Linked DNA regions of Caenorhabditis elegans. The protein of the gene in region 1 interacts with the protein of each later gene in a pairwise test. Each region holds a gene or a part of one and is shown on either strand. Other genes may lie near its edges.

What was found.
Region 2: the proteins of hmg-20 (region 1) and snrp-200 interact in a two-hybrid assay, tested with the Caenorhabditis elegans proteins (one large-scale study listed by BioGRID).

What each region holds. Positions count from the first base shown.
Region 1 is NC_003279.8:12,533,544-12,538,478, reverse strand, and holds hmg-20 (HMG box domain-containing protein), read right to left. Parts: upstream 3,168-4,935; 5' UTR 3,153-3,167; coding exon 2,826-3,152; intron 2,741-2,825; coding exon 2,652-2,740; intron 2,600-2,651; coding exon 2,409-2,599; intron 2,173-2,408; coding exon 1,846-2,172; intron 1,610-1,845; coding exon 1,520-1,609; intron 1,265-1,519; coding exon 1,128-1,264; 3' UTR 808-1,127; downstream 1-807. Other genes in the region: W02D9.4 (Zf-3CxxC domain-containing protein), read left to right, coding at 102-426; W02D9.2 (Protein YIPF), read right to left, coding at 4,354-4,466, 4,589-4,734.
Region 2 is NC_003280.10:12,733,781-12,738,677, reverse strand, and holds the start of snrp-200 (U5 small nuclear ribonucleoprotein 200 kDa helicase), read left to right. Parts: upstream 1-1,767; 5' UTR 1,768-1,802; coding exon 1,803-2,241; intron 2,242-2,290; coding exon 2,291-3,113; intron 3,114-3,231; coding exon 3,232-4,369; intron 4,370-4,427; coding exon 4,428-4,835; intron 4,836-4,897. Other genes in the region: pisy-1 (CDP-diacylglycerol--inositol 3-phosphatidyltransferase), read left to right, coding at 352-485, 738-839, 915-1,174, 1,227-1,393. UniProt on the Caenorhabditis elegans protein: Catalyzes the ATP-dependent unwinding of U4/U6 RNA duplices, an essential step in the assembly of a catalytically active spliceosome. Plays a role in pre-mRNA splicing.

The DNA.
Region 1 (4,935 bases):
CAAAAAATTTCTTTGATTTTCCGGAAAATTGAGAAAAAAATTCAGTTTTCTGGAAAACAAAAATTGTTTTATTAATTTTTTGTTAATTTTTCTAAATTCAGATGCATTCAAAAAGGATGTCAAACATTCCGCTCAGTCAAGAAAGTGCTCGAAACGGATTTGAAACGCGGAAAACTGTCAATCCTTCCAGAATTCGAATTTCTCGAGCAAAATGAGTCAGAATCTACATCGCACGAGGAAGTCATGAAAAGTTTCGAATATTTCGCGCAAAGCAGCAGCTCCCGGAGTAAAAAAGACGCCAATAAAAGCTCCAAGAATTTGTCGTCAAATTTTCTCGCCGCGCATGGTATTAAAATCCAATCAGAAATGGATAGTGAGGTCAAAATCGAGCTGGAGGAGCAGAAGCCGGAATCCCTGCTTTTATAAGCTTCACATAATTCCAGATATCATTTATATTCGCTTCCTTCCTGATTCTAACTCAACTTTCTTTGTTTTTTCCTGTTATTCACTGTATTTGTTCACAAATTTGTTGTTGTTGAATTTGAAATTACTATTTATAAACGTTCTTTCTCAAGTAATTTATTTAAAAATGCAGTGCTTTTTTCCTAATCTGAAAGAAATTTTGCTTTTCTTGTTCGGATTCTTCCCACAGGGAGCTTTTTTATCGAAAAAGTCAATAAAAACTACGGTGCATTTTCAAGGCGCATGGCAGAACTTTTTCGACGGGTCTCACCACGACTTTGTGCAAAATTATATTTTTACATGTTTCTAGCGATTTTTCTTAACAAAAAAAACTAAACACTTTCAAAACATATAAAATTCATATTAGAAAACATTTTCGAATAAAAATAAAAAAATATTGAAAAATAAATCAAAGAAATCATGTTTGAGCTCAAATTTTGGAGGGCGGGGGCTAGGAAAAAAAATCACATGGAAAATCGATATTTTTAGGCGGGAAATTTGAATTTTCTAAAGGAGTTGAAGAAGGAAACCCTGAAAAATATAAAACGAAAGACCAAAAATATTGAAAAAAATTGATATAAAACTTTGGGAAAATGCACAAGAAATTATGGTTCAAAAAAAGGCGGGGGTGGGTAATTTATTGATTTTCAACAGGGAAAATTCGGCTATTTCTTCATTTGAACGATGGATTTTGCGTTCTTGTTCACCGCCTCCTTGACACTTTTTTTCGTCGAATTTTGGGCTCCGAGATGGGTCAGAGACTCGAGCCACGTGGCCAGTGCGTCAATTGAGGTCAGGTGATCTGGAAAAATTTGAAATCTTGAGAAAAAAAAATGATGAAAAACGGGCTAAGATAGCCTAATTGGAGCAGTGGCCGAATTTTTGCGGAATTTGGTTTTCTAGGCCACGTAAATTTTTGAGAAATATGACGAAAAATGACCAAATTAGGCGATTTTTATTAATGACCAAACTTTTCCGAGATCTGAATTTCTAGGCCATCACATTTCTCGTGGTGGCCTAACTTTCCATATTGCTAGGCTACGGCCTCGAATCTCACCTTTTGCACCGGGAACCGCGGCGAGCACCGTACGCATTTTTGCCATCGTCTCCTCGATTTTCTCGTCAGCTTCTCGGATTCGTGTCTCTTCTGCAAAAAAAAACTTGTTGAGTGGTGGCCTAACTGTTTAAAAATTTCAAAGTTCTAGGCCACGGGCACGAAATAATTTTTCCATCAATTTTTTTTCCGTTTTTTCATTTTTTTTTCTCAGAAAAAAACTTTAAACATTTTCTTGTCGAGAAAAGAATGTGGGCTAGTTTTTTCGAGATTTGCTGCTTTCTAGGCCACGGCCACAAAACTTTTTTTTTTGGGTTTCTAGGCCGTACGTTGCTCAATTCGAACGTCCATATCGTGCTGATGAAGCGCCTCGAGCTCATGCTCCACATGGGATCTCTCAATAGCCAGCTGCCTACGGTAGGTGTCCCGTGTCTTGTTGTAGGTCATAAATTCCGGCGTAAAAATCGGCCCAGAGTACTGTAGGCCTGATGTGGATGATGACGTGGCAGGCTCTGGGCTCAAAAGTGGACAAAAAACTGATGGTTTCGGGAAGGGGATTTGCACGTTTGGCGTGTCGTCGTCAGAATCTGCTTGCCGTCGTTTTTTCGCATTTTTCGAGCCATTTGACTGAGATGACAGGAATTTTGCACGTTTTTCTGCAAGAAAATGAGATTTTTAGCGGTTTTTAATGTGAAAATCGAGCTCAGCGACCCTTTTTACCCATATGTAGACGGTTTTGGCAAAATTTTTAATTTCTGTGCATTTTTGCGTAGAGTGTACGGTGTTTACGTACTTTTGGGGCTACCGTAACCCGAAAGTTGTCAAAATTAACGCTTCCTATACTTCCTACAGGTAAAAAACTGCGGAGAACTCGATTTTTAGCACAACGAACTCTGAAATTCCTTATGCGAGTCAGTTTTCTTGTATTCTTCCATCAGCTCCAAATATTTGACCTTCTCCTCGTCGGCTCTCTGCTGAAACGGGATACGTTCTTCGGCGGTAAGCTTCTGCCAGTCCGCCGCAAGCGATATATTAATTTCTCTCTGTGACATCACGGCTTTTGAGTATGAAGCTCGGCGATGTCTGAAAAAATTGGGGATTTTCGGGATTTTCTCGCGAAAAATCGATAATTTACATGATAAAATGCACATATCCAGATCGATTTCTTTTTGGAGCATTTGGATCGATAAATGGCACTGCTTCTTTCTCTTTTTCGGGTTTTTTCTGCAAAAAACGAGGATTTTGAAGTACGGTATCGAGAAATGCACCAGCTGGACGTTGGCGCGTTTCTCGTGCAGGCTTGTCTCACCTTATACACCATTTTGGCTCGTTTTTCAGTGATTTTTGGTAATTTTTTCTCCTCCTCATCACTATCCACCTCCATTTTCACCTCGATTTCCTCGTTTTCCATTTGGATTGAGTGGGCGGGCGAAAGTGCGGGCGGTGGGCTAAATGAGGCGGTTTTTGCCCGTTTTTCTGGAGCACTGACGGGATTCTTGTTCTGCATTTCCTCTGATGACGTCACGTCTTCGGATTCTGCCTTGAGATCCGGCGCAGCTTCATCCTCTTCGACGTCGGAGGTGGGAAGTGATTTCGCGGCGGGACCCGTTGTGGAGTCGGACCTTCTTGGGCGCATTTTTGTTGGAGATCTATAATATTTTAGGGAAATAGTGGTTTTCAGAAACAAAAAATTTGAGAAAACCGCGACGCGACCGCAACGCGAGGAGAAAATTGTGATAATTCCCACGACTAATTTTGCTTAAAATCTTCAATTAAAGCATTAATTTTTTCTAAAAACTCGAAAAATCATAAAATTTCAAATAGACCGCGACGCGACCGCAACGCGCCCGGCGTACATAAGGTGTTTTTTGTAAACTTAAGCTAATTAGCAGTAAAATTTCGCAAAATTCAAATTTCTACGTTCACACCTCTCCAATTAGACAATCTTAATACTTTAATTGCGAAAAATATCCAGAAATCAAAAATGTAGCTCAAATTCCAAAATTTTTTCTGCAAAATTGGAAACTTTTCGCAAATTTCTTGATTTTTAAGTGAGAAATAGCTTGGAAATCAATTTTTCCATCTATTTTCTCTAGATTTTAGAATTGCTACCCTTAAAAAACAAAATCTTATCCACTTTTTCGCGGATCCTGGATCCAGGATCAAAATTTCCGAAACTTTTCGGGATTTTCAAGCTACTGAGTCAAAGAAATACGCCAAGCACGATGCGGCTATAGATTTTCGCTGAAAATCGATGACAAAGTGGCAAAATCCGTTAATTTAGGCAAAAAAACAAGTGAAAAACGTGTGAGTAGGACTAGCGAGAGAGTACGAGACGCGGCGGAGACGCAGAATGTGAGAGTGAGCATAGAAGACGCGAGAGAGCGCAGAGAAAAAGACGGCAGCTGTACGGAAGAAAAATGCGATGAGATTAATAAAATTTTGAAAAAGAAAATTATGTATTTAGTATTTTTTGAAAAACTTTAAAAATCGCTCTTTGAAATTTAAACTCGCGCCTTTTGATCCCAGTGCGGCGCGGTCGCATCGCGGCTTGAATTTTTTAATATTCTGAATTTATCTTTTTTCTCTCATTTTTCACTGAAAAAATTGCATAAATCAATTATTCTTCGTTCAAATAAATACATCAATCGTGAGGGAGGAGACAAAAAAATTTGTTATGGCTCTTAGAGAGTAGAAAGGGGGAGAATTAGTGAAAGCTACAGTAGAAAATCACAGTTTTTTGTAGTTTATAATCAAAAGCGATGATGACGGATGTTATGCATAATATCACGAGTTGAAAGGGGAATAAATAATCTATATTTTTTTCTTTAAAAAGCTCAAGAATGTGAAATGATCATCCAGCTGACGACGAAATAGAACAGGAACACCGGATAAATGACGAGAAGTCGCTTTTTGTCAGGCTGACATCCTGCCAAGAATCCCATCGATGCTGAAATTTGATAATTTTATTGGACAATTTTGGAAAATTCATGAAAGCCGCGCGCGAAGCGGTCGCGTCGCGGTAGAAATTTTTAAAATTCGAGTTTTTCAGAAAAAATTGAAAACCCCCACCATAAGTGGACCACACGAATCCAATGGAAGTGATGAGAAGCCGGAGCGGAAAAGCGATTCCATGGAGGAAAAGTGAGCAAAGAACGGCGGCGACGAACGGCGGGAGAAGGCAATAGCCGATGACGCATAGAGATTGGAAGAATGAGCTGAAAATTTGGGATTTTTGAGTGAAAAATTGAAAATTTCGGGGGAAAAACACATTTATAGGCAAAAAATTCGAAGTTTTCAGGTGTAATTTGAGTTTATAAGCTAAAATTTTGAGATTTCGAGGTAAAAATAGCAGTTTTTAGCGTAAATTTTTGAAGTTTTCTGGTGAAAATTGAGGTTTTGGGCTGAATACTTAAGAT
Region 2 (4,897 bases), on another chromosome or scaffold:
TTGCTGCAAAAACAAGTTTTTCGGCCATATGCAAACTGATTCTCGAAAAAAAATCCCAGTTCTCTTAATTTTTCCCATTAATTCTCCTCATTTACGCTTCCAACTCCTACATTTTTGCCTTAAAAGCTTTCCATCTTATTAGCTAGCCAAATGAAGCGAGAATAAACAATTTCTAGCTCTTCTCTCATCTCCAACCATCTGCGTCTCCGCTCTCTTCCCATTTTCGAAAATGTCTTGCTTTGGAGCAGATGGACCGTTGTCAAGGCATTTTTTATCGCTTTTTTTCGTTTTCCCGTGTTTTCAATCGATTTCTCGTTCTCATTTATTCAAAAACAATATTTTCAGCTTAAAATGGAACCGACAGCCGCCGAGAACAACAACAATGTGTGGCTATTCTACCCGAATCTCATCGGTTATGGACGCATAGTACTCGCCATTTTGGCCATGTACTACATGTCGTCAGCGCCATGGTGTGCAATGTTCTGGTGAGTTTTGGCGAGCTGGAAATCGATTTTTGCATCAAAAATTAGCTAATATCCATGTTTACTACTACTTTTCATCTCTTTTTCACTGAAATGTCGAGTATTTTTGCGATGCATGGTAAAGAAATCAAGGTGACCAGGTTTCTTTTCAATTTTCCCCCATAATTGAAGAGTTACAATGCCATCTGACAAGGTTTTTCAGAAGAAAAGTCCTGAAAATTAGATTTTCGTAATTAAAATTTCTCATAATTTCAGCTATGCACTCAGCGCCGGACTCGACGCGTTTGACGGATGGGCGGCACGGACCTACAATCAATCGAGCCGATTTGGAGCAATGCTCGATCAGCTCACCGATCGGTACGTTAAAATTTCTCAAATATGCTGGAAAATTCGAGAAAAAAATTGGATTCGGTAAAATTCTCATATTTTCAGCTGCGCCCTGCTGGCCTTGGTGATGGCGCTCTGCAAGTTCTACCCGGATCACTTGTTCCTGCTTCAACTGTCGGCCGTAATCGACATCGCATCTCACTGGCTTCACCTTCACGCCACTGATCTCTCCGGTGCCACGAGCCACAAGCAGTCTTCGAATTGGCTTCTGAACCTCTACTACACGGATCGATTGTTCCTCGGATTCATGTGCGGCGGAAATGAGGCTTTCTACATTTTGCTCTACATTCGCGCGTTCTGGGCTGGTAAATATTTGATTTATTTTTGCTATAATTTATTAATTCCTCTAATTTTCAGGACCACTGATCTTCAACTTCCACTTCATGTCGATCTTCCCACTCATCGCCTTCCCGATTGCCTTCGTCAAGTCCGCCATCTCCGTCGTCCATCTGTACACTGCCGCCGAGATGGTCGTTGCTCACGATGTGAAGCTCCGTGTTGAGGCTGCTCAGAAGGCCCAATGATCTCCGGATCTCCCCGAAGTCTCCAAGATTCTCCTCTGATTCCCCATGAGCTTTTGTATACACATTCCCCACTACTTAATTCACGAGCTTTACGCTTAGCTTTAGTCCTTTAGTGCTCTCGTCTCAGGAAAATGTTTCCGATTTCCATTTAATTCCAAATTTGAACATATTTCTCTGTAATTTTTTTCCCCGTAATTTTTTTTTTCGCAAATTCCCGATGTACTTACTCTGTAAAATAATATTTATTTTGTTTATTTTATTTTCCATTTATTATTCAATTCGAATTGGTTTTCAGCCAGCCGATTTTATCTATTTTCTCTCAATTTTTATTTCTTGTTTTGATTTTTTTAACCTTAATCCCACGATTTTTGCAGGATATTCGACTATCCCGAGTTGACTACAAACTACAATGGCCGACGAGCTAGCCCGAATCCAGCAGTATGAGTACCGGCAGAACTCCAACTTGGTTCTGTCGGTCGACTACAATCTGACGGATCGGCGTGGCAGAGAGGAGCCGACTGGCGAGGTGCTGCCGATCACGGATAAGGAGATGCGCAAAATGAAGATGGGTGACCGGGCGATCAAGGGAAAAGCGCCGGTGCAGGATCAGAAGAAGAAGAGAAAGAAGAAGGACGACGAGAAAGCACAACAGTTCGGCCGGAATGTCCTTGTCGACAATAATGAGCTCATGGGAGCCTACAAGCCCAGAACCCAGGAGACGAAGCAGACTTATGAAGTGATTTTGTCTTTCATTTTGGACGCACTTGGCGATGTTCCACGCGAGGTTCTGTGCGGAGCCGCTGACGAGGTGCTTCTCACGCTGAAAAACGACAAATTCCGAGATAAAGGTGAGGTGAAAATCGAAGATTTTCAATAAAATTTATATTTTTTTTTCAGAGAAGAAGAAAGAAGTGGAAGCTCTTCTGGGACCGCTCACCGACGATCGTATCGCAGTTCTCATCAACTTATCGAAGAAGATCAGCGATTTTTCGATCGAAGAGGAGAATAAGCCTGAAGGCGATGGAGACATCTACGAGAATGAGGGTGTAAATGTGCAGTTCGACTCGGATGAGGAAGAAGATGACGGTGGGATGGTTAATGAGATCAAAGGTGATAGTGAGGAGGAGAGTGAAGAGGAAGAAGGTGTGGATACAGATTACACGGCAACACTCAAAGGAGATGGTCATTTGACGGAAGATGAGCAAAAAGCACGAGGAATTCTTCATCCACGTGACATCGACGCTCATTGGATCCAAAGATCGCTCGCCAAGTACTTCAAAGATCCTCTGATCGCCCAACAGAAGCAAACGGAAGTCATCGGAATTCTCAAGAACGCCGCCGACGATCGTGACGCCGAGAATCAGCTTGTCCTGCTGTTAGGCTTCGATCAGTTCGAGTTCATCAAGTGCCTTCGCCAGAATCGTCTTATGATCCTCTACTGTACACTTTTGCGTCAGGCGAACGAGAAGGAGCGTCTCCAAATCGAAGATGATATGCGATCTCGTCCAGAGCTTCATCCGATTCTTGCACTTCTTCAGGAGACTGATGAGGGATCTGTTGTGCAGGTGGAAAAGTCGAAACGAGACGCGGAGAAGTCGAAGAAGGCCGCCACAGCAGCAAATGAAGCCATCAGTGCGGGACAGTGGCAGGCGGGCCGCAAGATGTTGGATCTAAACGATCTCACGTTCAGTCAAGGATCTCATTTGATGAGCAATAAAAGGTAAATACAATTTTATTTTAAAAGTACGATTTTCCATTAGAAAATTAAGGAAATTTGATTCATTATGCACTTTAAAAGTCCACATTCCCAAAAAACCCTAAAATTCTCAATTTTGCAGATGCGAGCTCCCCGACGGATCCTACCGCCGCCAGAAAAAGTCCTACGAAGAAATCCACGTACCAGCCCTCAAACCACGACCATTTGCTGAAGGAGAGAAGCTCGTCAGTGTCTCAGAGCTCCCGAAATGGGCCCAACCGGCTTTCGACGGCTACAAGTCGCTGAACAGGATCCAATCCCGACTCTGTGATTCAGCTCTTCGATCCAAAGAGCATCTCTTGCTCTGTGCTCCAACTGGAGCTGGAAAGACGAACGTGGCGCTGCTCACGATGCTCCAAGAAATCGGAAACCACTTGGCAGAGGATGGAAGTGTGAAGCTCGATGAGTTCAAGATTGTCTACATTGCTCCGATGAAGTCACTGGTTCAAGAGATGGTTGGAAGCTTCTCAAAACGTCTTGCTCCATTCGGAATCACTGTCGGCGAAATGACCGGAGATGCTCAAATGAGCAAAGAGCAGTTCATGGCGACACAAGTGATCGTTTGTACGCCGGAAAAGTATGATGTGGTGACGCGAAAAGGCGGAGAGAGAGCCTATAACCAGATGGTTCGGCTGTTGATCATTGATGAGATCCATCTGCTTCACGATGATCGTGGACCGGTGTTGGAGTCGATCGTCGTCAGAACGATTCGTCAAATGGAGCAGAATCACGATGAGTGCCGACTGGTCGGACTTTCAGCAACTCTTCCGAATTATCAAGATGTGGCGACGTTCTTGCGAGTGAAGCCTGAGCATTTGCACTTCTTTGATAACAGCTATCGTCCAGTTCCCCTCGAGCAACAATATATTGGAGTTACTGAGAAGAAGGCTTTGAAGAGGTTCCAGGCGATGAACGAAGTGGTGTACGACAAGATTATGGAGCACGCCGGAAAGAGCCAAGTCCTCGTTTTTGTGCATTCCCGAAAGGAAACTGCGAAAACCGCGAAAGCGATTCGTGACGCGTGCCTCGAGAAGGACACGCTGTCGGCGTTCATGCGTGAGGGCTCAGCGAGCACAGAAATCCTGAGAACCGAGGCCGAGCAGGCGAAGAATTTGGATTTGAAGGACCTCTTGCCGTATGGATTCGCTATTCATCACGCTGGAATGAACAGAGTTGATCGTACACTCGTCGAGGATTTGTTCGCTGATCGGCATATTCAGGTAGGGGAATCGAAAATTTCCCGAAAATATTTCAAATCTTCAAAATATTATTTTTCAGGTGCTCTTTTCGACTGCAACTCTCGCTTGGGGAGTCAATCTGCCGGCTCATACTGTAATCATCAAGGGAACTCAGATCTATAACCCGGAAAAAGGACGTTGGACAGAGCTCGGAGCACTCGACATCATGCAAATGCTCGGAAGAGCCGGACGTCCACAGTACGATGATCGCGGAGAGGGAATTCTCATCACAAATCACTCGGAGCTCCAGTATTATCTCTCGCTGATGAATCAACAGCTTCCTGTCGAGTCGCAGATGGTCTCACGGCTCACTGATATGCTCAACGCTGAGGTTGTGCTCGGCACTGTCAGTAGTGTGTCGGAGGCGACGAATTGGTTGGGTTACACTTTCCTTTTTGTGAGAATGTTGAAGAATCCGACGCTTTATGGAATTACACATGAGCAAGCGGTAGGTTAAGCTTGAAATTTTAGCATTTTTCATAGAAAACCCTAAAATTCTCCAATTTTCAG